Linked DNA regions of Neurospora crassa OR74A. The protein of the gene in region 4 interacts with the protein of the main gene of each other region in a pairwise test. Links are inferred from orthologs where the notes say so. Each region holds a gene or a part of one and is shown on either strand. Other genes may lie near its edges.

Region 1 (5,359 bases), about 920 kb from region 4:
CGCTCGAGGTCAATCTGGATGATGATGGCTTATCCGAGTTTTTGGATAATTTGTGTTTTTCTGAGGGGCCAGCAGCGGTAAGGGGGGATGAGCGGGAGGGGGAGGGTGTGGTTGGTGTGAGTGAGGGGATGGAGGTTGAGGATGATGATGATGATGAGGTATGTTTTCTTAATAAAAACAGTGGGTTGAAGGGGGGGTGGGTGTGGAATGCTGATAATATGTGGTTTACTGGGGGAGAAAAGGCCATGGTTTTGCCTTCTAAACATCAACAACAGCAAAAGACAAGTTATGGCTACGTCACATACGAAATACACCTTCACCCGACATATCAAGCGCCTTGTCTGTGGTTTTCACTAAACGGACTGCCGGCGGATGAACCAGCCTTCAACATCGACACCGTCTTTCGACGTCTTGTACCCGATCAGTTCAAAGATGGACTTCGCCGCGCGGGTTCCGTGGGTGGTATCTCAGCTGATGTAAGTTTTCTCTTCTCTTCTCTTCTCATCTCATCTCGTTCTTTGTATTTGTGTCTTGCGATTTGGGTGGGTTCAATCTTCTCGCTGTTGAAACACCAAAAAGTTAACTAGGGCTGAACTCCTTTTTCTCGCTCTTTGTGACTTTGTTGTGAAACATAAAGATATGAGAAGGACAAAAAGAGAGAGAAAGAGAAAAAAAAAAGGTGCCTATACTAACACACGAATGTCCCTTCTTTTGAATTATTTCGGCCATACAAACAGTATCATCCCATCACAGGCCTTCCCACCTTCTTCGTCCACCCTTGTCTCCTCGGCGAGGCCATGTCGACCTTTGACAATGTCTCGATCGAGAACTACCTGATGGTTTGGCTTGGACTCGTCGGCGGCTGTGTCAGCCTTTGGGTCCCCAAGGAAATGGCCTTGGAGCCTTCCTCCGCCTAGAGGAAGTGGGAGTAGCGCGGTGTATGTTGTACATGCAGCTAGCGGTGCGTCTTCTGCATTGTCCTTCGAGAGGGCGAATTTTTCATCCATCCGCTTCATTGCGCCTTCATTTTTCGTCATCCTTCCCCACCGCGAGCTGGTATCTTAAACAAGAAGCAAATGCCATAGTGGACACCCATCAGTCCTCGTCGCTGTCTTCCTCCATAGCAACGTCCGAATCGCTCTCCTCCTCTTCTTCCTCCTCCTCCCGTGGCCGCTTCGTTCCCCGGTTCTCCTCTGCCGGTGTGGTTGTCTCCGTCCCGGGAGGCTTGGCTGGCGAACCTTGTGGTGCTGGACTCTCGGTATTCGTAGTAGGGGCGCCTGGTACTGGGGCACTAAAGATACTCTGTTGGACGGTGGTGAGGGCCACGGCGGCGGCGGCCTTGGGTGGCACGAGAGTACCGTCGAGTTTGGCGATGATGTTGGAGCGGCCCTTGGCGTAGGTGATTTTCTAGGCAAACCCAAGTTAGCATGTGAAGGGCTACCGCTGAAATATTCAACCCGAGAAGACCTACCATTTTGCGGCCCAAAAACTCCATGCCGTCAAGTGACCTCATGGCCTGTGTTGCTGTCTGAATGTCCCGGTAGACAATGTGTGCTTGCCCGCGCATCTTCATGGTCTTGAGAGCGACGACATCGAGGACGGGGCCGTAGGTGGAGAAGAGCATGTATAGTGCTGTACGGAGGTCGTCCTTCTGGATCTTAGCTGAGGGGAGGTTCGTGACGTAGAGAGTCTGGTTTGGCGGGTTCGAGACCACCTTTTGGGGGAGGCCCGCGGGGGGAGCAATACGCGTAGCCATTGCCGCGTAGGAATCCGGGAGTTGATGCTGTTGTTGTTTGTCCAATGCAGGTTGTTAATTGTCGCGTAGATTTTCAGTATATCGTAGGCGCCTCGTGGTAGGGGTTAATATCGTCAATTGTCTCGTCGTCGTCGTCGTCGTCGCTCGGGTGTATGATGTTCAGTGTTCAATCATGAATTCAAGTCGCGGCGGCGCATGCGATGTCGACAATTCAGATGCTGGTCCAAAAATTGGAGACAGTGGCCAGCCAGCCTACGAACCATCGAAATCGGTACACAAACCCCACGGGCGTGGGTGCAGCTTGTTGGAGGTACTGCGGTTGCGAGCAAAAGTAAAACCCCCTTGTCAGGTATCTTGCACGGACCACCACAGCCAGAGCTTCGTGAGCACTGTGTGGTCGACGACCTGATCCACGGGTTTAACTTACCCATCTCACCATAGTAGGTTCCAGTTCCAGGTGGGTCAGCCCCGGCCGGCAGCAGGGCACTCTTGGCGGCGTCACCCACCCGCAGCCAACCCCACCACCATACGCTGCCGCAACGGTGCCCCTGGAGCCTGGCGGTCTGACCTCATTTCAGGCGTCCAGCCCGCTGTAGTTACGGAGCTCTCCCGCTTCCCGTTCCCGGGCACAGCTTCCCCTTTCCAATTACAACATCCGGCTCCGACACCACCGAACCAAGACATTCGATCACACTCTCCGTCATCACCGTCCCCGATTCCGAGCGCGGTAGTAGAGAGCTATACTCCTATCGCATACCTTATTTCTACACAACACCAACCTAACAACCCACAATGGCTGCTCCCGAGGTCCACCATCTCTTCCACCACCCCATCGCCGACCACTCCTTCTCGGCCGATCGCCAGACCTTGGCCATTGCCCGCGACACCCAGGTCGAGCTCTACGGCAGAGTCGGCAATGCCTTCAAGCTCAAGGATGAGCTCAAGGGCCATGACAAGCTTGTCACCAGCGTCGACATTGCTCCCAACACCGGGCGTATTGTGACCTGCTCTCAGGGTAGGCCCCCCCTTTCGCAACCCAGGCACCCCATAATGCCACCATCACAGTCAGCTAGACTAACAACCAACCCCAACTCACAGACCGCAACGCCCTCGTCTGGGAACCCTCCCCCACCGGCTACAAGCCCACCCTCGTGCTCCTCCGTATTTCCCGCGCCGCCACCTTCGTCCGCTGGTCTCCCTCGGAAGCCAAGTTCGCCGTCGGCTCCGGCGACCGCGTCATCGCCATCTGCTACTTTGAGGAGGAAAACGACTGGTGGGTATCCAAGCACCTGAAGAAGCCGATCCGATCCACCATCACCTCTGTCGCCTGGCACCCCAACAGCGTTCTTCTTGCTGCCGGCTCCACCGACGCCCACGCCCGCGTCTTTTCCGCCTTCATCAAGGGCACCGACCAGCGCCCCGAGCCGAGCCCCTGGGGCGAGAGATTGCCTTTCAACACGGTCTGCGGCGAGTTCCTGAACAACTCTGCCGGATGGGTGCATTCTGTTGCCTTCAGCCCGAGCGGCGACGCTCTGGCGTTTGCGGCGCATGACTCCTCCATCACCGTCGTCTACCCCTCTGCGCCCGAGCAGCCGCCCAAGGCGGTGATCAGCATCAACACGCAGCTTTTGCCCTTTATGAGCCTCTTCTGGAACGGAGAGACTGAGATCATTGCTGCGGGTTACGATTGCGAGGCTTTCCGCTTCCAAGGCGGCGAGCAGGGGTGGCAGCTGGCCGGCACGCTGGAGAAGGCCAAGGCCGGAGGAAGACCGGGTCTTGGTGACGAGGACAGAGAGGAGTCTGCGCTGAACATGTTCAAGCAGATGGACCTGAAGGGTAAGGTCAGCAAGGATGATACCATGTTGAAGACGGTGCATCAGAATACGGTTACTATGTTGAGGCCCTTTGAGGAGAGTGGTGGACGGGTGACCAAGTTTAGTTGTGAGTGTTCCCCATTTTTACATGACCTGTGGTTTCAAGAATTATTGATGCTAACTTGACACAACAGCGAGCGGTGTTGACGGCAGAGTCGTCATCTGGCACACCTAGATTTCCCCTCGATGAAAGAGGGTTGCTGCACACATTGGGAAGCAGAAAAGCCAAGCAAGCAAGCGTAACATCTAATGTTAATGGAACAAGAGTGAATGGCTGATAATGAATCAGATTCAAAGTCAAGATCCATCAATGTCAGTTTAGCGGGTAACTTTCCCGGTCTTTGATTTCTGCCCTATCCGTGCTTCCCGGTATCCGCCAAAGTGATTGATTGTCCATTCACCCATTGTACAGAGACTTATCATGTCACTTCTCCACAGTGAGCTATCCGTTTGTCATGACCGCCCGGCCAATTTTGCAAGATATGTATGTGTGAATCAGACACACAGTCAAGAACAAATACAGGTTCAATACATACAAAGCAATTCATTGACTTCCGCTTGTGGCTTGCCGGACACATTCCGATTTGCCGTGATAACTTCCATAAAAGGATCATAAGAGAACTAATAACCGGCAGCAGGAGAAGTGCATGTCACAATTCATGTCCATACCTACCATTGTTTTGTCCCTGTCGATTATTTATTCCATATCCTTTCGCTCCTCATCCAGACCTTCAGCTTCAAAAGCAGTTTACCATAAGTAATCAGCCGTCCGTCACTCCGTCCCTTTCAGCTATCCAAACAAACTCAACTTACCTCGCTTTGCCTCCATCTTCCCTGCCTGCCTACTTCGTTGTCTGGTTAGAAGAAGAAACAGCGGGATCAGAAGAACCAAACAACAACAAACTGAACCATGGACCACAACAGTTCCTACGACTACTACCCATTCAACCACCCCCAACACCCTCTGTACTTTAACCCCGTATCTCCTGTTCATGTTCCTCCTCCTCCTCCTCCTCCTCCTGGTCATCCAGAACCAGAGGAACAAAAAGACTACCACCACTACGCTCCCGCATCACCAAGCGACTTTATTTACAACGCCAACTCCTCTGTCAACACCACCACCGCCGCTAGCATCCTTCATCATCATCATCATCGGCATCCTTCCCGCTCTTCTCGATCTTTATTCTCCAACGAGCCAGTACTCGCCTATCCACCTCGGACAGTGGGGTCTAGGTCTGTTGAGCAATCATTTTCGAATTACTTACCTGGGGTACTGGAACCAAGTCTACCACGACCAGCACCAGGTTTCGAGGAGCATCGACGCCAGCGGCAATCAACGATGATGACCATGGGGCCGGGACCAAGTAAATCGGTACCTTCTCCACTGTCACTGCCCCTCAGTAGGGAAGGAGGAAGAAGTGGTAGGAGGAGGATGAGCGGGTTCAGTTCCGGTGAGGAGACAGTGGTGGTGATTAAGCGGGAGGAGGAGGAGGAGGAGTCGGTTCCTTGGGTGTCGATACCGTTAGAGCAGAGGGTGAAGAGGTGGGTGCCGCGGGTGCCACAGGGAGAACAGGGAGAACAGATGAAGCAGGTGGAAGAAGATGCGGTGGGAGGTGTGGTGGGAGGTGTGGTGGGATACGTGCCCCTAGGGACGGAGGAGAGTGGGGTCAGTGGTAGTAAGACTTGGGAGGAAAGGGGGGAAGGGGTGGTAATGGAGAGGGTTATGATG
Region 2 (5,326 bases), on a different chromosome or scaffold from region 4:
TCGTGCATTATGTCGTATATAGAGCCTTCATCGGGGCGGTATACCCGGGGAACCTTTCGTTTCTTTGGGTTGGTCCGTTTCCGGCGCGGCGGCGATGACGTCGATGCATCGGTACTTTGGCTGCTGAAGGCGGGGCTGTGAATTTCGGAGGCTGAGGCCGGGGGTTGTTGTGTAGGGCCCGGCGATGGGCCGGCTATGTCGCGTGAGGCTGACATGGCTACCTCTATCATGGCGCGCAGTTGTCCAAACAAGGTGCCACTGCCAGAAATGAGGGACCTGAAGACAAAAGAAGCCGGGATTGGAGGCGCGCGTCAGCTATGTAGTTCCAGGTTGTTGTAATGTGGATGTAACGTTGGCGCGATGCAGCTATTGCCAGAACGAATGGTCGTCTTGAGAAATAAGAAGTGTTGCCGCGATGATATGATGAAAGAAGAAAAAAGAGCGAAGTCGCAAAATGAAGCGGGACTGGACGTACTCAAATGCGGTCATGAAAGAAGCAAGTGGACGGGAACTATCTCGAAGGGGGGAGAGTGTTCCTGGTCCGTAGGTAGGTAGGTCGTCTTCTTTTGTTGACCTATTCAATGGGCGGAGCGCAGTGCAGTGAGTGGATGCGACAGCTCTGCTAGGGCGGATCGGCAGAGCGTTTTGTGGAGGGAGTGATGCGCGCGTCCACTGCAGTGCACGTTCCCTTTTTCTGGGGTCCCCTTTTTCTGTTGATCCAAGTCAGCCCCACGCACAAAACACAGGTGAAATCACACCAAATTCGCAGCGCCGGTAAAACATGCAAGCAACTCACCTGAAAACGAATGGTGCTTGGAATGATGTTTTGTTTTGGTTTGAGGAATGGAGAAAAGCGATCCAAAACAAGTCGCGCTGGTAACGACTGAGTCACCGTAAAGAGGGGGGAAAAAGCACTAGGATCAAAGTTTGCCTCCTAGTTCAAAAAAGTGGGAGGGGTTTGTCCGGGTTCTTGTGTTTGTCTTTGGGCGTGAAGAAGCGGAGGGCTGGTTTTAATGAACGATTGAAGAAGGCAGTTGTAGGTAGAGGAGAGAACCGTGACGCAGTGAGTGATGTGATGGGACTGGAGAACCCCAAATACCCCTCCATCACCCTTTCTCAGTGGACGGCGCACGACGGCGCTTTTGATTCCGCGTTGGTGCGTACACTACTATCACAGTACCTCTAAGCAGCGTAGTAGCGCTCTCGACTGGTGGTGTGCCTGTCGGGTGTGTGGCAGTCCCCGGCCGGATTTGCGTCGGATGAACAATTGCGCCAACAACAGCCAGCCAAGTCTGGACTGCTGGCTGATTTCATCATCTACGACGCGCTAGCACACGAGCTCCCGTGACTTATTGTCTTGGCATCCCCTCTTGTTTCTTCAATGTTTCTGCTTTCTGAGTCTTCTCCTCTCTCCTTGACGACGGGCCCCCCTGTTGTTCAAACAGGCAGCGGTGGGCGCAGCGCGGCGTTCACGGTGTTGAACTTCGTCCTATCCAACCAACATTCAGGTGTTGGCTCTCTTCCAGGTTGTTGGACTCGACCACGGCGTGAACCTCGGTCAATCTTCTTCCTTGAAAAATTCCGCCATAATGAGTAATGATGGGATGGATCCTTGGAACACCATCTTGAGCATGGAGTCCTGCTCTTTGTCTGGATTCCGAGACACAGCAGCTTAAGTTGCATGGAAAGCGGGCGCTCACGTCGAACGCGGTGGCTGACTACATGACACGTGAAGAGTCTTTGTGTAACTGAATCTTCCTCTGTATACCAATGGAGTGGCATTTTGACTTGTTCACATTCGCTCTCCTCCTTCAGATGATGCATTGTGCAAGACCTTCCGATTCCCCCGGGACTAGGTGGCTCCACTTCAGGCCGCAAAGATCCACTTTATCGGAGTCAAGCGAGCTGCTGCCTGTCCGATGACGAGGCCGGCTCCGGTAACTCTACACGTGATGGGAACCGGGAGTGCTTCATTGACTGTACCAGGCCTCATCCGGAGTCCGGACACAGCCACTGCTGAGCCACAAATTCAAATAGAAAGGTAACGCACAGACCAAGTCCAGCTCTACTGTCACAGAGTCCGTCACAGCGGCACGGTGCAAGCAGCGGTCGTCACCGCCAGCTCGACGTCAGCGCAGGAGAAGCCGCCATCGCCCATCGCTGGCACGCTGCAGGTCCAGGAAGGCCAGCCCAAGTCCAATTGACCCCATCACCCCGCAAGGCTGCGCCATAGAACCCGGACGCGGTCAAGTCAACACGACATCCCAGATTTACCTAACTTCCAACTTGAACACCATTTGCTTAATCTGGTAATAGCTTCATAGAGGGAGCTTGACACCAACCGTCACAATGCCGGTAAGCGCACCCATTCGCAAGCTCCCAACACCCAGCCGCTATGCGTATAGCTTCCCCAAGCTATACCAGCCAGCCAGCCAGCTACCCCTTAATCGTCAGACAAAGCTTCGTCCATGATCGCATCACCACCACCCACAACACCACGAACCGCTTTGCGCCCAATCGCATTTCTTCGCCTCTCGCCTCACCTCACACACAAATTCCCATTCTCAATCTCTCAACTAACGACGCCACTCTCTAGGCCTACAACTCCGTCTTCAACGCCGACCCCTCCCCCCGCCTAATCGGCAACTTCCCTCTCTTCCCGCTTCGCACCAAGATCCGCGGGCCGATCTACCCTCTCCCCTTCCCGGACCCTCCGCTCGCCGCCAACGAGTCGCCCGACCCGGACTCGGAGTCATACGACATTCTGGACGAGACGCTAGCTCTCTTCCGCGCCAACACCTTTTTCCGCAACTTTGAGATCCAGGGCCCCGCCGACCGCCTGCTGGTCTACGGCATCTGGTACATCAGCGACTGTCTGGGCCGCATCAAGCCGCACTATGGCGTTAGGGAGGCGACGAAGGAAGTGAACAATGCGGCGCTGGATGTGAACTTTGCGTTGCCGGGCGATCCTGGGTGGCCTTTGAATCAGGTGAGTTTTTTTGGCGTAAAGGATTTAGGGCGGAGATAGAATACGGTGAATGTGATGGGAGTAGATGTGGCCCGCGGCGGTGAACAAGAAAATGGATGGCAGCTAATAAGTTTGACGCAAAACAGATGTATGAACCCCCCCGCGACCGTCAAGACGCAGAAGTCCTCCGTCAGTACCTGTCGCAGGTCCGGCAGGAACTGGCGCAGAGGTTATTGGCGCGCGTGTACGACGACGAGACCGAGGACAAGCCGAGCAAGTGGTGGTTGAGCTTTACCAAGAGGAAGTTCATGGGCAAGGGACTCTGATGCGATGCCTTCCCTGTTCAGATGGCGTTGCATGGAATCGTTTAGCGCCAAAGTATAATACGTACTCTACACAAATAATATTTCAAGTTTCCTAGAGTGTGAGGGTGTGTTGGGGCGAGCGAGCAAGACTTTCAGTTGTTGTTGTTTTTGCGTGGTCCGGTTCGATCAGGCATAGATCGAGTACACATACACTTGAAACCCGATCATGAGCGACATGGGTTATATCTCCAGTTGACGTTCGATTAGTAGAATTACTGCAGCTCTATTTCGTGCAAATGGTATCTAAGAGCAAACGAGATCTATGCATATCGGTCATGCTGGTTCTCCTAACTGCTACCACTATCAGACTCCTGCTCATTGTTTGCCCGCCTTTCATGGACAAAGCATAATCATTTAAACCCATGGTCGCCTCCACTCCTCCTCGGCTGGTCGAGTCCACCTACTGTAAGCGAGCCTCGAAACGCTCTAACTGTCTTTTCCTTTCTGACTTTCCCTCGACCTCATTGCTTCCGTGGAAACCTCTGTGTGAGATCTTCCGATGCACGGGGAGAGAAGTGGCATCCTTGAACTCCCATAAATAACTCTTTCCGACCAATCCACTCATGCCGAAGCCGGCGTCGAAACGCTCTCCTCCACCTTTCTCCTCTTAAATTTGCCCTTGGCCGCAATCTTGCCCTCCGCTGGCTTCGCTCTCCATCCAGTAAAGATATATCCATCCGCACCACCGCGCTCCGTCATCAACGGATGCGTCCTGCCCGGCAACACCTGCCACCTCCTCGCCCTGCTAGTCTGGATGCTTGTGCCCAGTAACAGCGTGGGGTTGAGAGGGAACTGCTCGCTTCCCTCCCACTTTTCCAGCTCTTCGGCCGTCTTGCCCTGGATCTCCGCCACGTGTCCGCTGTTCCACGCCGTCCTCCTGGCAACGCTGAAGCAATCGGCTAGTGTCGCGAGAGGCTCGAGAGAAGGGGAGTAGATGGCCACGGGGGCGCCGCCGGCCAAGAGGGGAAGGGCGTGCTTGAGGATCGAGATCGGGTCCATGGTGCTGGCGCAGACGAGGCCGGAGAAGTTGCCGGCGCGCGTGCTGTCGACAATGTGGCGAACGCGGGCGTAGCGTCTGCGCTTGCGGTGGAAGTTGCCGCGGCGGCTGGGCTTCCAGGTGCTCAAGGTCTCGGGATCGGCAGTGAGGGGAGGGGTCGAGTACGAGGTGTCGAGTTCGGGCTTGAGGAGCTGCAGCCAGCTGAGCGTGAGAAGGTGGTTCAGTAGCGGGTGCGGCGGGTGTTGTGGGGCGGTGACATCGAAGTTCCAGTAGTTGAGGAATGAAAGGTTCGGTTGGCTGGCGCCGTGAAGGACGGTGATGGTGTTGGTTTGCGAAAAGGGAACGGCGAAATCGGAGTCGCGCGGCTTGTTGTCACGCGGGCGCTTGGGGTGTCGGGGAAGAGTTGTTGTCTCTGATGTTGCTGCTTGCTGTTGTCCGTCAATCATTTCCGTGTCTTTTTGGCTGGTCGTGTCAGATTCCTGTTTTGGTTCCGTCTCTTCCTCGGCCTTTTCTGTGGCTTCCTCCTCTTCCGCCGCTTCCTCGGTCTCGTCATCTTCCTTGTAGAGAACACCCATGCGCTCGGCCATGGCTGCGACTAATAGACCACCGGTATCATCGACAACTAGCCACCTTCCAGCCAGCAAGTCCTCTTGCAAGGGTGCAAGAGCCTCCTCTCCTTGTTCTGTTGTCGCCTTGGGATCCTCCAGGAAGACGTCCGCACCGCCATAGTGAACGTTACCCCAGCAACCGACCAAACCCATCATCTCGGCGCGAATGTCCAAGATCTTGCTAGCATCTCTCTCCTCCAGCTGCCAGTTGGAAAAGGTGGGAACGTCGATGGGCAGGACCTGGAACCTCCTGATGTACTTCTTCGTCTTCAACAGCTTGTACTTGGACAAACTGAAACTAGTCTTCTGGTCGAGAGCAGCATGCGACAAGAGAAGTTTGGCGATGACGTCCTTGCCGGCGTTGGTCCCGTCGCGCTTCAACTCCTCG
Region 3 (5,529 bases), on a different chromosome or scaffold from region 4:
TCCTCCCCCTTAAAGATGGGCCGAAGACTCAGCAGCTCCGCAAAGATGCATCCCACCGCCCACAGGTCGATAGCTGTCGTGTAATGCTTGCTCCCCAACAGCAGCTCGGGCGCGCGATACCATATAGTCACGACCACTTTATCGCCCATGTAGAGGTTGTGGATGGGCTGCTTGAAAACCCTGGCCAGTCCGAGATCGCCAATCTTCACTTCTCCGGAAGAAGTAACCATGATGTTCGCCGGCTTCAAGTCTCGATGTAATACCCAGTTGGTGTGTAAGTATTGCACCCCCTGCAACAGCTGGTACATTATCGACTTGATGGTCCCTGGCGCGATCGGATGTCGTGGCGTTTGCGTGTGATGGTGGATGATCTGCAACAAATCGTGCTCTGCGTACTCGAATACCATGAAGATGCACTTGTCCTCCAGGATAATCTCGATGAGCCGGATAACGTTGGCGTGGTTTCGCAGTTCGGAGCATAACGCCATCTCACGCACCGCCGACTGAGAGATGCCCGTGTAGTTGACGACGGCTTCACCTTCCTTGTCGGGCTTGAACTTTTTGATGGCGAATTCCCCGGTTTGGCCTTGTCGGCCGGTGGCTTTGTAGACCCGGCCATAGGTACCGGAGGAGATGAAGCCGATGACTTTGTAGCGGTCGGTAATGCGGACCTTGGTTTGGTAGTTTAGGGGGCCGGCATTGCTACGCTGGTCTGAGACTGAGGGCGGTTAGTGTCGGACTGGACTAGGATATGAGAGATGAATGGGGGGAAAGGCGATACTGACACCCGCGGTAGCTGGTTTCGGCCTTTTGGTTTCTCGCTCTATTTGTGCCGTACATCATGGGGGGTGATTGTATGTTTATAAGAGTGAGGTTGGTGTATGCAAGGTAGTGACTTGGTAGTGAGAGGCTGGGCAGTCACCGCCCGTCTGTTTTGTGTTTGAAGATGCTCTCGGGAATTTGGAGAAAATAAACTATATAACCGGGCACAAGATACACACTGAAGGGATCATGCTGGGAGGGCTGGATGATGTTTTGAATGAAGGAATTGGATCAAGTTCATCGACTCACATTTCGGTTTCGGAGGCATGTCATCTGAGCCGTACCCGATCTGCACGGGCCCGGGGGGAAAACCACTGTGAGACTCGGGAATGGATGAGCGGAGACGGTGTGTTAGCGTGGCCGGTAGCTGGGCGATGGAAGCCGGGCTTGAGAGTTTGGAGAAATCGAGTAAAGATGGCCGGTGAGGATCTGGGAACACGACAGGTCTGGGGATTTTGACGACGAGCTGGATTGATATTGTTGTCGCAAAGGCAAGAACAAAGTGACACACGAAGGAAAACAATAACATCAATTACCCTTTTCGTCACCAGCGACATGTCAGGCTAGCAGAGATCTGATGATGTTTGCTTCTGTTAGTGTGTCAGCTCTGATAAGCCACTGTATCGCCGCCAGCCTTAGCGTACCGTATCGATGTCCAACAAGTGGGGGTGGACCATTTCACCTTTCCGTCTTCCCGATGTTTGTCCGGGACCGTCCCGTTCCGCTGTCCGCATCTTGCTTGATGTTGGCGCCGTTGTGATATTGGGGACTTCTTTCATGGTATCCCAAAAGACCATGACTCTTGACACAAGGCCATTGTTCGATTTCTCCTGTCGGGACCAACAAAATTACACCAGCCCAAGCAAGCTCTAACAAACTCTCGCATTATCCTTTATTTACCTACCAACGGAAAACATTATATCGCCTGCTATTGTAGTCTAAACAGCTTCACCCTCGGTAGTCCCTTACCTAGGACCCAACTTCTCCAACACCCTCGCGCCCTGTTCTTCCCACTCCTGCTTCGTAATCCACATGCTCTCCTTATCCGCCATGATATTCGCCAGCACCGCACCACCCAAGAAGACCATATGCCTTCTTCTCGGCGGGTCCTCGATCCTGACCTTGAACTTGCTCAGCCTCTCGGGGTTGCCTCCCAGCACGCGCGTCAACCACAGCTGCTTCAGTTCCTTCTCCAGTCTGCTTGGAAGGCCGGGGTACATGCTGGAACCACCCGACAGGACGATCGCCTTGAATAGCGAGGAGCGCACGTCAACATCGGCGGCCTGGATGGTGTTGAAGAGGAATTCGGCGATACCCGGCTGGTCGCAATCCACCAAGTGCGGCTGGAACAAGCACTCGGGGGCCTCGAACCGCTCGGAGCCGACGCGGATGACGCGGCCGTCGGGAAGGGTGTAGCTCTCGACGAGGACGGTGGTATCTTCGGACAGGCGCTTGTCGAGCTCGAGGTCGTACGAGACGTAGCAGAGCTTTTCCTTGATCTGGCGGACGGTCTCGAAGTCGGCAGTACGGTTGAGGGCGTAGCCGCGGCGGAGAAGGAGGGCGATCAGGTTGCGGGTGACGTCGCGGCCGGCCACATCGAGGCGGCGGGTAAGGTGGTTGAGGACCACGGATTCGTAGACAGGAACGATATGCGTGACACCGTCGCCCGAGTCGACTACGACACCAGAGGAGAGACCTGCGCGTTGTCTGTCAGCTACTTGTTTCCTCAAGTCGCCGTGTAAAGGAGCGGTGACATACCCTGAGCATACAATGCCAGCACCGCCTGGATAGCGACATAGACACCCCCAAAGTCGTAGCGCTCAAACATGACTTCGGTCATCTGCTCCCTGTTCTTCAACGGGTTCAAAGGCGGCTCCGTCAACAAGATCTTTCTTCCCCGCGTATCGACCTTCATCTTCTCGTGAAAAGTGTAGTCCCATAGGTGCTGCATGTCGTCCCACTTCTTGACGATGCCGTTCTCCATCGGGTAGCTGATTTGGAGCATGGTACGGGCGGCCGCGGCCTCGTCACCGCACATGATGTCTTTGATCACAATGTCGGAGGAGTCGGAAAGCGATTTGGCTTCTTCGGCGCGGAGAATGGGGCGGCCGACTATCGAGGGGTATTGGAATTCGGGGAAATTCTGGGCGGCGTAGCCGACCTTGAGGAAGCCGGTACCGCCATCGAGGACTGTGTTCGAGGGGGGAAGTGTTAGCTGGGCGCTGTGCTCATTTTGTTGTTGTGAAGTGGAAGTGATTGAGGACGGAGTCCGACGGCTACAGCTGCCATGGCGACGGTGATGACGCGGTCAGGCAGATGGGTGGGTGGTGGTGGTGTTGGTGGTCGTCAAGGTAGCTTGAGCTCGAGACACCAGATGGATAAGGGGTTGTTGGCGGAGAGAAGAGCTGACGTACCAATGGGAGCGTCGGTGTTGGCCATGCTGGGCGGCTGTTTGGTTTGGTAACTTTCAATGGAGTTGCGAATAGCTTCGTCGGGGTTTCGAATATCGAGTGTATATCGGAGCTAGAATGGAAAGCTCCCGCGGGTGAATCAACAGGAACCAAGTGTCGGTGGTCCCGTCGGTCGGTCGGTGCAGTGGTGTCGGTGCCCTGTCCGGGTTACGGTAGCGAAGTGGACTACGGCACCGTAATTAGCTGGAGTCCAGCGCGGTAGCCTAGCTGGGGGGGTAGCATCGATATGTGGGGTCATTCGCTAACTGCCAAGCTTTCCTTCAAACAGGGCGCCGCTCGTCTGAGCCAAAATAAAGGAGACGAGCGAGCAGGCTAGGTAAACCAGTTCACTAGACGTCAAGATCATAGAAAAGACCGCTGCAAGACCGTGACAGGGAATATAACAATTCAAAAAGACCTCAGCTAGAGCCCTATTTACACATTTTCATTCTGTAATTGCCTAGAACTTGAGAGTCAGCAGTATACCCAAGGAGCCAAGGTATCATGTCAAAGGTCTCGATTATTTTGACCAGGACGAGCGCCGATGACAAGCGGGTCTTGGCAGGATTCTGGACCCCAAGGAAGTGGCAGGCATTAGGGTACCCACGTGATACCCCGCATGAGACTCGCACTTGTACCTTCAGTAGTACATGCACCTTGTTGGGCATCGTGAGAGATCAGACGGGATGGATTGTGCATTTGAGAGTGGAGATTGATATTGGTTCTTCCCGTCCCTTCTTTTTTTGATTCTTCATTTGTGGTTATCAGACCCTTTGTTGCCTTATTCTTTCTCACTCAGGCCGTCGATACAATCGGTATTTTACCAACTCATTACGATACTAGTAGGTTGTTCCCATTCAGGTTCTACCATCGTCAATCTTTCAAACTGAGTACTTCATGATACCTCCCAAAATGGACTCAGACCTGACTATTTCCCTCTCAGACCATTTATCGATTCACCTCACTCACTCACCCCCCTTCCTTCGTCAACATGACTACCGCCCAGCAAGAACCAATCAGGATCCTGATCCTCAACCCCAACTCCTCCAAGTCCATGACCGATGGCATGGCAAAGTCTATTTCCAGCCTAAACCTCCCCGACGTCTGTCTTCCCTTCTCTCCTCCACCCCTAATAACCGAAAACGTGGACTAACACCCCCCTCCAGAACATCAAAATCACCTACTACACAGCCCCTACCTCTTGTCCAGCCAGCATCAACAACGGCACCGACCTGGATACCTCCGCCACCCACGTCCTCCAAGACCTCAGCAGCAACCTTCAACTCCTCAAAGACCACGACGCCGTCCTAGTATGCTGCTACTCCGTGCACCAACTCGTCCCCGGCCTCTCGGAACTCGCTTCATCCAACGGCTTTCCCCTCTCCGTCACGGGCATCTTTGAAGCATCCGTCCTCACTTGCCTGTCGCTGCTCACGGGCCCGACGAAGAAATGGGGCATTGTCACGACGGGCAAGTACTGGGAGGAGCACCTGACTGTGGGAGTCAAGAAATTCTTGGGTCAAGAGGAGAAAGGGGGAAATAATGCAAAGTTTGCCGGGGTGCAGACGACGGGGTTGGATGCGGGGGATTTCCATGGAGATATTTCCAAGGAGGTGATTGATGCGAAACTGGCCGAGGCGACCAAGAAGTTGTTGCAGGCTGGGGATGTGGAGTGTGTGGTGATGGGATGTGCGGGCATGGCTGGACTGGAGCAAATCATTCGCCGGACTGCGATTGAGCAGTACGGCGAGGAAAGGGGGAAGAAGGTCATGGTTGTTGATGGAGTCAGAGCGGGAGTTGGGCTGGTGGATGAGATGGTGAAAAATAGGAGAATGTTTACCCAGTAGGTAGGGACGGAAAGGGAGTGGAATTAGCTTTGAAGCTGGAGATTTCCTTTCGAGCGATTTGTACGCAAGTTCGTCGCAGTGCCCCCTGCCTTTTTCCAAGCTCTCGGGGCAGAAGTCACATCGTATATCATAGTTTGTTCTCTCAAGGCTTCATTCATGAATGCAATACATACAGTCTAGTACTGGTTGGTCTGTTAGTTCGAGACCTCGTGTCAACTTTCCTATGCGTTTTCATGGCTAACTAATGTACAATCTAACCTTGGGCACGCCATCTCTAACATTCAAAATGCCAAAGCAAATCCAACTAACTCCTTTTGATTTATCCATATAACCTTTAGGACTATTCGAAGTAGATTTTGTCTAGTACACTATGAACTCCCCCCTTATGCAACACCAATAGCACTATAGTA
Region 4 (5,939 bases):
TTTATATCCTTAAATAGAAGAATATAATTGGAAACATTGCCTTAGATATTGCTAATGCTATAGCCGGTAAAGGTTTCTACCTAAATGGTTATTATAAGCTATTCCTTTAATAATTTAAAGCGGCTAATAAGAGTAATAACTTAAGTAAGGGCCTAATATTTATAATATTTATTAGTAGTATTACGGGAGTTTTAAGTATAAATAAGAAAAAGTTTTCGTGTAATATAAAAAAGGAATAGGAAAAATATTATAATAAATAGCCAAATATAGCTCGCTTCTTATATTATTCGGCTATTGAAATACGGGTTATTAATTATAACGGAAATATATTTTTACTTAGGGTTAAGCTTATTAAGAACGACGATTTTTCGGAAATTTTACTTTATACTAGTAAGTTTATTTTAATATAATTAAAAATATACAAAGTTTCTTACCTATTCTATACCGCTATTATTATTAATAACCTTTATAGTCCGAAATTTAAAGCTATTGTAACCCTTTAAGTTACTACTACTTTTACTCCTACTAAATATAAATATAATTACCCCCCTAAGGTTAAAAGAGAATTGGAGTAGTAGCTTCTATATATATTCCTAGTTCCTTCTACTATTATTCTACTTATTCCTATATACGGATAATTACTAGAGAATATATTAGACTATAGTATATTAATTAAAGAATAAATATATATTTTTAGTATTAAAGCTATTTAAGGTAGTAATGTTGAATCCGACGACGGTGGATATAGAAATTAAAAGAGACGTTATATTAAAATTAGAGAAAACGAATATAAATAGTATTTTTATAACGCTAATAATTATAAATAACCTTTTTATAATATTAATAACGATAGCGAAATTCTATTAGGCGGTAATATTATAGTAAGTAGAAATAACCTTCTTAGTTATATTGCTCCGCTGGGTAGTAATATTCCTAGTTCCTCAAACTTTATCCCCGACTATATTACTCCGCCGGAGGTTTTTGCTTTGAGTTTTAATTTTACTATATTTATGGAGGTACCGGTAATTACTTAGTCCCCTAATAAGTTAGAAGAGATTTCTAAGCCTCCTCCCCCTAATATTACTATATTTACAATTATTTAGTCCTCCAACGAATTAGAAGAGATCCTAGAACCTCCTAACTTCTATAAGTATAAAGGAGAGTATAAAATAGTTAATTAAATTACTAATTATAAATACAATTTTATTAAATTCGAAGGCGAAATTTAAGTTTCCGATTTAATATAAATAGAGTTTGTAGAGCGCTATTATTGTAGGGTTGATGTAAATAATCTTAATGGCTTCTACGAACTATGGATTCTAAATCGATATTCTATTAATACTTCTTTAGATTTAATGAAGAATATTAAAGAGGCTAGAAATTAAATTCTAAAAGATAGTTGTGGTTAGTATAGAATACCCTCGCCTAAATTCGAATTCCCGACCGAATACCTTAATAAATTTCACCTCTCTAAGGAAGAATAATTCCGGAGGATATTCGTCGCTAATAGTTAGCATTAGCAAAACCTACAATTATATATATATTAGGCTATAGTACCCCTCGATCTTCTTTAAGTTATTTTTTTTCTTTCATTTTTATAATATTATCCCGGGTTATTATTTACAATTAATTTTATACGTTGTTTTTATTTAAAGCCGGAGCTAGAGTTTCTTATTTTCTTTTCGCTATACTCTCCTATTGTTATATTTATATTAAGGAATATATATTTTATACTATTATATTGAAATAGTTATAAAGGAGGCGTACTTAGAGTAGGCGAATATTATTAACTACCTATATAGTACCTATACTCCAATTTTCTTATATATATAAGTTAGAGTTTTGGCTTATAATTATTAAAAAAGGATAGAAATGATAGGAACTATAAAGAACCTCCGCTAGGTAGCCCAAATAGGTAATTTAATATAGCGCTTTCTCCCTTACTACTTACCTCTATTAATATAAATATAATATTACTTAAAAATTATTGTAAAATAATTGTAAGACTTTTAGTAATTAGAATATATACTAATTATTAAATAGATAAATATAATTAAATAATTATTATATTAATAAGAATATTAGCCTGCAACTAGTAATTCAAGCGAGTATATATGTTATATTGCACATTTTGTGGCTTAGGTCGCATTATTGTAGTACAATTTGCTGTTGTTATACTTTTGTACGCTGTTGAACGGTCAACTCCGTTTCGTACCCAATACTACGTTAATAGTCGCTGTACTATTAATTAAAACTATACATTGCAAAATAAAACCAATTTTAATATAATAATATTCAACTATTTAGTAGATTACAGTAAGAAACAATACTGTATAAGGATGTTGCAGCCCACAACCCCTGCTCAAGCGTTTTATACTACAAAGGCCTGCTACGCCCACTTTTGTCAGACCCCCCATTCCCTCCAGGGCCTTGTTGGCCCATTCCACCTGCAGCTGCTGAGGTGCCGCTGGAGGTGCTGCTTGCTCTGTACACTAACACTGCCCGCCCGTGCTGAGGGAGGTGACCGCTCTACATACCTCTAAGATTGTAGCTACCTACCTATCACGGCCCCACCCCCGACACTTGAACACACTACGCAACTGACCCGACCCGGCTTCAACAACTCGACGGCGCCGGATATATACGAGGAATCACAGTCAACATGCTCCTGCTCGACTACCAGAACGTCCTGATTCAGGCGGTGCTCACCGAGCGTTTCGCTCCTGGGTATGTTTACCACGTCTCCAGCCCGAACGCGCAGTGCGCCTGTCCGCCCCTGAACTTGCACTGACGACGCTGCCGCCGCCGTCACCGCGCATTCCAGAGCTTCCCCCGTCAACATCGACCAGACTGTCTCCGACTTTGACGGCGTCGTCTTCCACATCTCCACCCCCGAATCCAAGACCAAGATTCTCGTCTCTCTCCAAATTCGATGCTTCCAGGATCTCGTTCGCTACGGCGCTGAGCAGGTCCTCAACCGCGAATATGCCGATCTCGTTGTCCCTCCCGAGGCCGGCTATGACTTTTCCATCCAGGTCGACCTCGAGAACCTCCCCGCCGAACAGGAGGCCCGCGATGCCCTTGTCATGAAGATTGCCTTGTTGAAGCGCAATGCCATGGCCGCGCCCTTCGAGCAGGCCTACCAGGAACACTACGCCCTAAAGGAGGAAGCGTCCAAGTTTACATCCGAGGAGGCGCCACAGGGTGTCCGTGAGGGTGGAGAGGTCAAGGCTATTCACTACCGAGAAGAGGAGGCTATCTACGTCAAGGCCAGCCACGATCGTGTGACCGTCATATTCAGTACCATTTTTAGGGAAGAAACGGACAGAGTATTCGGCAAGGTCTTCATCCAGGAATTCGTCGATGCCCGGCGCAGAGCCATCCAGAACGCCCCCCAGGTCCTGTTCCGCAACGACCCTCCTCTCGAGCTTCAGAATGTTCCGGGGGTGAAGAATACTGGTACAGGCGAGATTGGTTATGTCACTTTTGGTATGCCACATCGTGAAACAAGCTATATCTGGGATTGACTAACGGTAGCAGTCCTGTTCCCTCGCCATCTCACTCCTCAGCGGATGCCCGATGTTATCTCCCATATCCAGACCTTCCGCGACTACTTCCACTATCACATCAAGGCCTCCAAGGTAGGTGCATTGGGAAACATGCTACGCAGAGATCTCCATCTGACATTCCATCCCAGGCGTATATCCACTCGCGTATGCGCAAACGCACCGCCGACTTCCTCCAGGTTCTCCGGAGAGCCAGGCCCGATACCGAAGAAAAGGAGAAGAAGACAGCAAGCGGAAGGACATTCAAGGCTGGCGCTTAAGGAGTTCGTGCAGCGGTTTGTGTATCACGTTACTCTGCCTTTACTTGAAACCCGTCATGTTAGTCTATCGGCAAAGGCGGCCGAAGATGACCACTTACAGCTACCACCAAAGACAGACAATATTAATCACTACCCTAATCATTCCACTCGATTTACATAGTGAACGTTGATCTTGCGGCTTTCCGATATACCTGGCACACCGGAGTTCATTCTAGCCCAAGATACGTGAAGATTGCTTTTGGCTAACTAGTTTCAGCTAGAAATTTCCTATAACCGCCACCGCCCTCAATGCGACCATGGCTTCGACTTATACTTTGGGTTCTCCTCCGGCTTGCCCTCCCACGGAAACTCGATTTCCTCCGGATTCAAATACCAACTCGGATCGCCCTCTGTCTGCGTCAAACTCCATCCATTCCCCAACCACCTCAGCCCATTCCCACTTTTGTCAGCACCCTCATACATCCAGTCCTCCCACCTCGGGCTCCTCAGCGTCTCAACAGCATGCTGCGTCGACCCGGGCCACAGCGCCACGATCCTGTTTCCCGTCCCACCCTCCGACCGATACCAACTCTTGCACTTATCCAGGTACACCGTATCCTTAAAGTAGGCATCCACAAAGGCCACAAAGTCCCGCACTCGTTCCGGCTTGGGCTCCATGGACGCGTAATCCTCCTTTTGTAATTTGCGGATTACCGAGACGATGTAGTCTACCTGCGCCTCCAGGATCCGATTCAGGCTGCCGAACCCGATGGTCGTATTTGGGCCGAACAGCATCAGATAGTTGGGGAATCCGTCGACGGCTAGACCGAGGTAGCTATCGGGGTGTTGGGACCAGCGGGAGGCGAGGGTAAGTCCGCGCCGGCCGATGATGGGGAAGGGTGGGGAGGTGCAGGCTTGGAAGCCGGTGGCAAAGACAATTACGTCGGCGTCGATTATCTGTTTCTTTCCTTCCACAGTGGCGAGCGCGATGCCGGAGGAGGTAATGTGTGAGATGGGGTCGTGAATTGCTGTCACGTTGGGTTGTTGGAGGGCTTCAAGGTAGCCCCTTCCTGGAGTGAGGCGCCGGCAGCCAGGGGCGAAGGCCGGGATGATCTTGGCTAGCAGGTCGGGACGAGCCGACAGCTTGGATTCCATGTCCGCTTTGAAGAAAGCTTGTCCCTCGATGGTCATCGGGTGGCCTGCCATGGTGGAGTTGTGGAGGGAGGTGCCAAAGTCTTCAAAAGCTTTGCGGAATTTGAGGAGGGCGGGGCGTCGGAGCGGAAGAGGGCTTTTTGTTCTTCGGTGACTGGGTATAGGTTGTTAGGCTCTTTTGTTCACGGAGAGGTCCGTGATCTACACAAGATGAAAACTTACACTCGGTTACTTTGGGATCCAGTCCTAGGTCTTTCATGGTGTTATCACCAAAAGCTGACGATATCCAGGTCGGTGATCGTATGAAACATGAGAGCGTCGTTCCTTCGAGTTTCTGGAGCTTGGGAACGATCTGGATGGCACTGGAACCGTTACCCACAACAGCGATCTTCTTGTTGCGGAGGTCATAACTGTAGGTCAGTTAGCACGACACCTTTTCAGGACTGCCTCTGAAAGGCCAGTCAGACAACCTCTTACCTCTTATCCCACGCCCCCGAATGCATCTTCTTCCCCTTAAACTGGTCAATTCCCAGAATATCCGGCCATCGCGGCTCGCTAAGCTGACCTCGAGCCGTAATCAGCACGTTCGCCGAATCGGTAAACACCTCTCCGGTAACCAGATTCATGACTTTGAATTGCCTTTCCGTTCACGTTCTATTAGCCTGTCTGTTCTATTTGACGTGTGTGAAACTGGTCTGAACTTATAACGAACCATTTCTTCTGCCCATCGTCCCAGACACATTCCTCCACTTTATGTGATAACTTGATGAACCTCGTCGCTCCGAATTTCTCAGCCACGTCCTGCAGATATTTCTGGATCTCGTGGCCTGGCGCATAGAGGTTGGACCAGTTCGGGTTGGGCGCAAAGGAGAATTGGTATGAATGAGAGGGGATGTCGCAGGCGACGCCTTTTGTTCGTTTTAGCTGTCGGTTAGTTGATCTGCTTTGGTTTCCTACTCCTGTTTGGGGACCACGACCAGGT

What was found.
Region 1: the proteins of NCU03050 (region 4) and NCU02781 interact in binary tests that used the Saccharomyces cerevisiae proteins (3 or more experiments, as listed by UniProt). The link is inferred for Neurospora crassa OR74A from reciprocal best matches to the Saccharomyces cerevisiae genes ARC35 and ARC40.
Region 2: the proteins of NCU03050 (region 4) and NCU09572 interact in binary tests that used the Saccharomyces cerevisiae proteins (3 or more experiments, as listed by UniProt). The link is inferred for Neurospora crassa OR74A from reciprocal best matches to the Saccharomyces cerevisiae genes ARC35 and ARC18.
Region 3: the proteins of NCU03050 (region 4) and arp2 interact in binary tests that used the Saccharomyces cerevisiae proteins (3 or more experiments, as listed by UniProt). The link is inferred for Neurospora crassa OR74A from reciprocal best matches to the Saccharomyces cerevisiae genes ARC35 and ARP2.

Annotation. Positions count from the first base shown.
Region 1 is NC_026501.1:9,215,274-9,220,632, reverse strand, and holds NCU02781 (hypothetical protein), read left to right. Parts: upstream 1-2,324; 5' UTR 2,325-2,548; coding exon 2,549-2,771; intron 2,772-2,854; coding exon 2,855-3,697; intron 3,698-3,764; coding exon 3,765-3,805; 3' UTR 3,806-4,096; downstream 4,097-5,359. Other genes in the region: NCU02779 (hypothetical protein), read left to right, coding at 1-158, 243-476, 738-917; NCU02780 (U2 small nuclear ribonucleoprotein B), read right to left, coding at 1,096-1,407, 1,472-1,756; NCU02782 (hypothetical protein), read left to right, coding at 4,541-5,359. UniProt on the Saccharomyces cerevisiae protein: Functions as a component of the Arp2/3 complex which is involved in regulation of actin polymerization and together with an activating nucleation-promoting factor (NPF) mediates the formation of branched actin networks.
Region 2 is NC_026507.1:962,419-967,744, forward strand, and holds NCU09572 (ARP2/3 complex 21 kDa subunit), read left to right. Parts: upstream 1-2,095; 5' UTR 2,096-2,349; coding exon 2,350-2,355; intron 2,356-2,596; coding exon 2,597-2,989; intron 2,990-3,114; coding exon 3,115-3,294; 3' UTR 3,295-3,629; downstream 3,630-5,326. Other genes in the region: NCU09573 (hypothetical protein), read right to left, coding at 1-276, 476-489; NCU09571 (tRNA (adenine-N(1)-)-methyltransferase non-catalytic subunit trm6), read right to left, coding at 3,895-5,326. UniProt on the Saccharomyces cerevisiae protein: Functions as a component of the Arp2/3 complex which is involved in regulation of actin polymerization and together with an activating nucleation-promoting factor (NPF) mediates the formation of branched actin networks.
Region 3 is NC_026505.1:6,356,704-6,362,232, forward strand, and holds arp2 (actin-6), read right to left. Parts: upstream 3,465-5,529; 5' UTR 3,262-3,464; coding exon 3,237-3,261; intron 3,013-3,236; coding exon 2,581-3,012; intron 2,519-2,580; coding exon 1,788-2,518; 3' UTR 1,405-1,787; downstream 1-1,404. Other genes in the region: stk-8 (serine/threonine-protein kinase prk1), read right to left, coding at 1-712, 786-843; NCU07170 (hydantoin racemase), read left to right, coding at 4,264-4,374, 4,439-5,119; NCU17050 (hypothetical protein), read right to left, coding at 5,503-5,529. UniProt on the Saccharomyces cerevisiae protein: Functions as ATP-binding component of the Arp2/3 complex which is involved in regulation of actin polymerization and together with an activating nucleation-promoting factor (NPF) mediates the formation of branched actin networks.
Region 4 is NC_026501.1:8,290,740-8,296,678, forward strand, and holds NCU03050 (ARP2/3 complex 34 kDa subunit), read left to right. Parts: upstream 1-2,420; 5' UTR 2,421-2,662; coding exon 2,663-2,727; intron 2,728-2,824; coding exon 2,825-3,489; intron 3,490-3,540; coding exon 3,541-3,641; intron 3,642-3,697; coding exon 3,698-3,826; 3' UTR 3,827-3,829; exon of another isoform or gene 3,830-3,960; intron 3,961-4,045; exon of another isoform or gene 4,046-4,082; 3' UTR 4,083-4,111; downstream 4,112-5,939. Other genes in the region: NCU03049 (flavin-binding monooxygenase), read right to left, coding at 4,112-5,004, 5,180-5,367, 5,435-5,596, 5,670-5,865.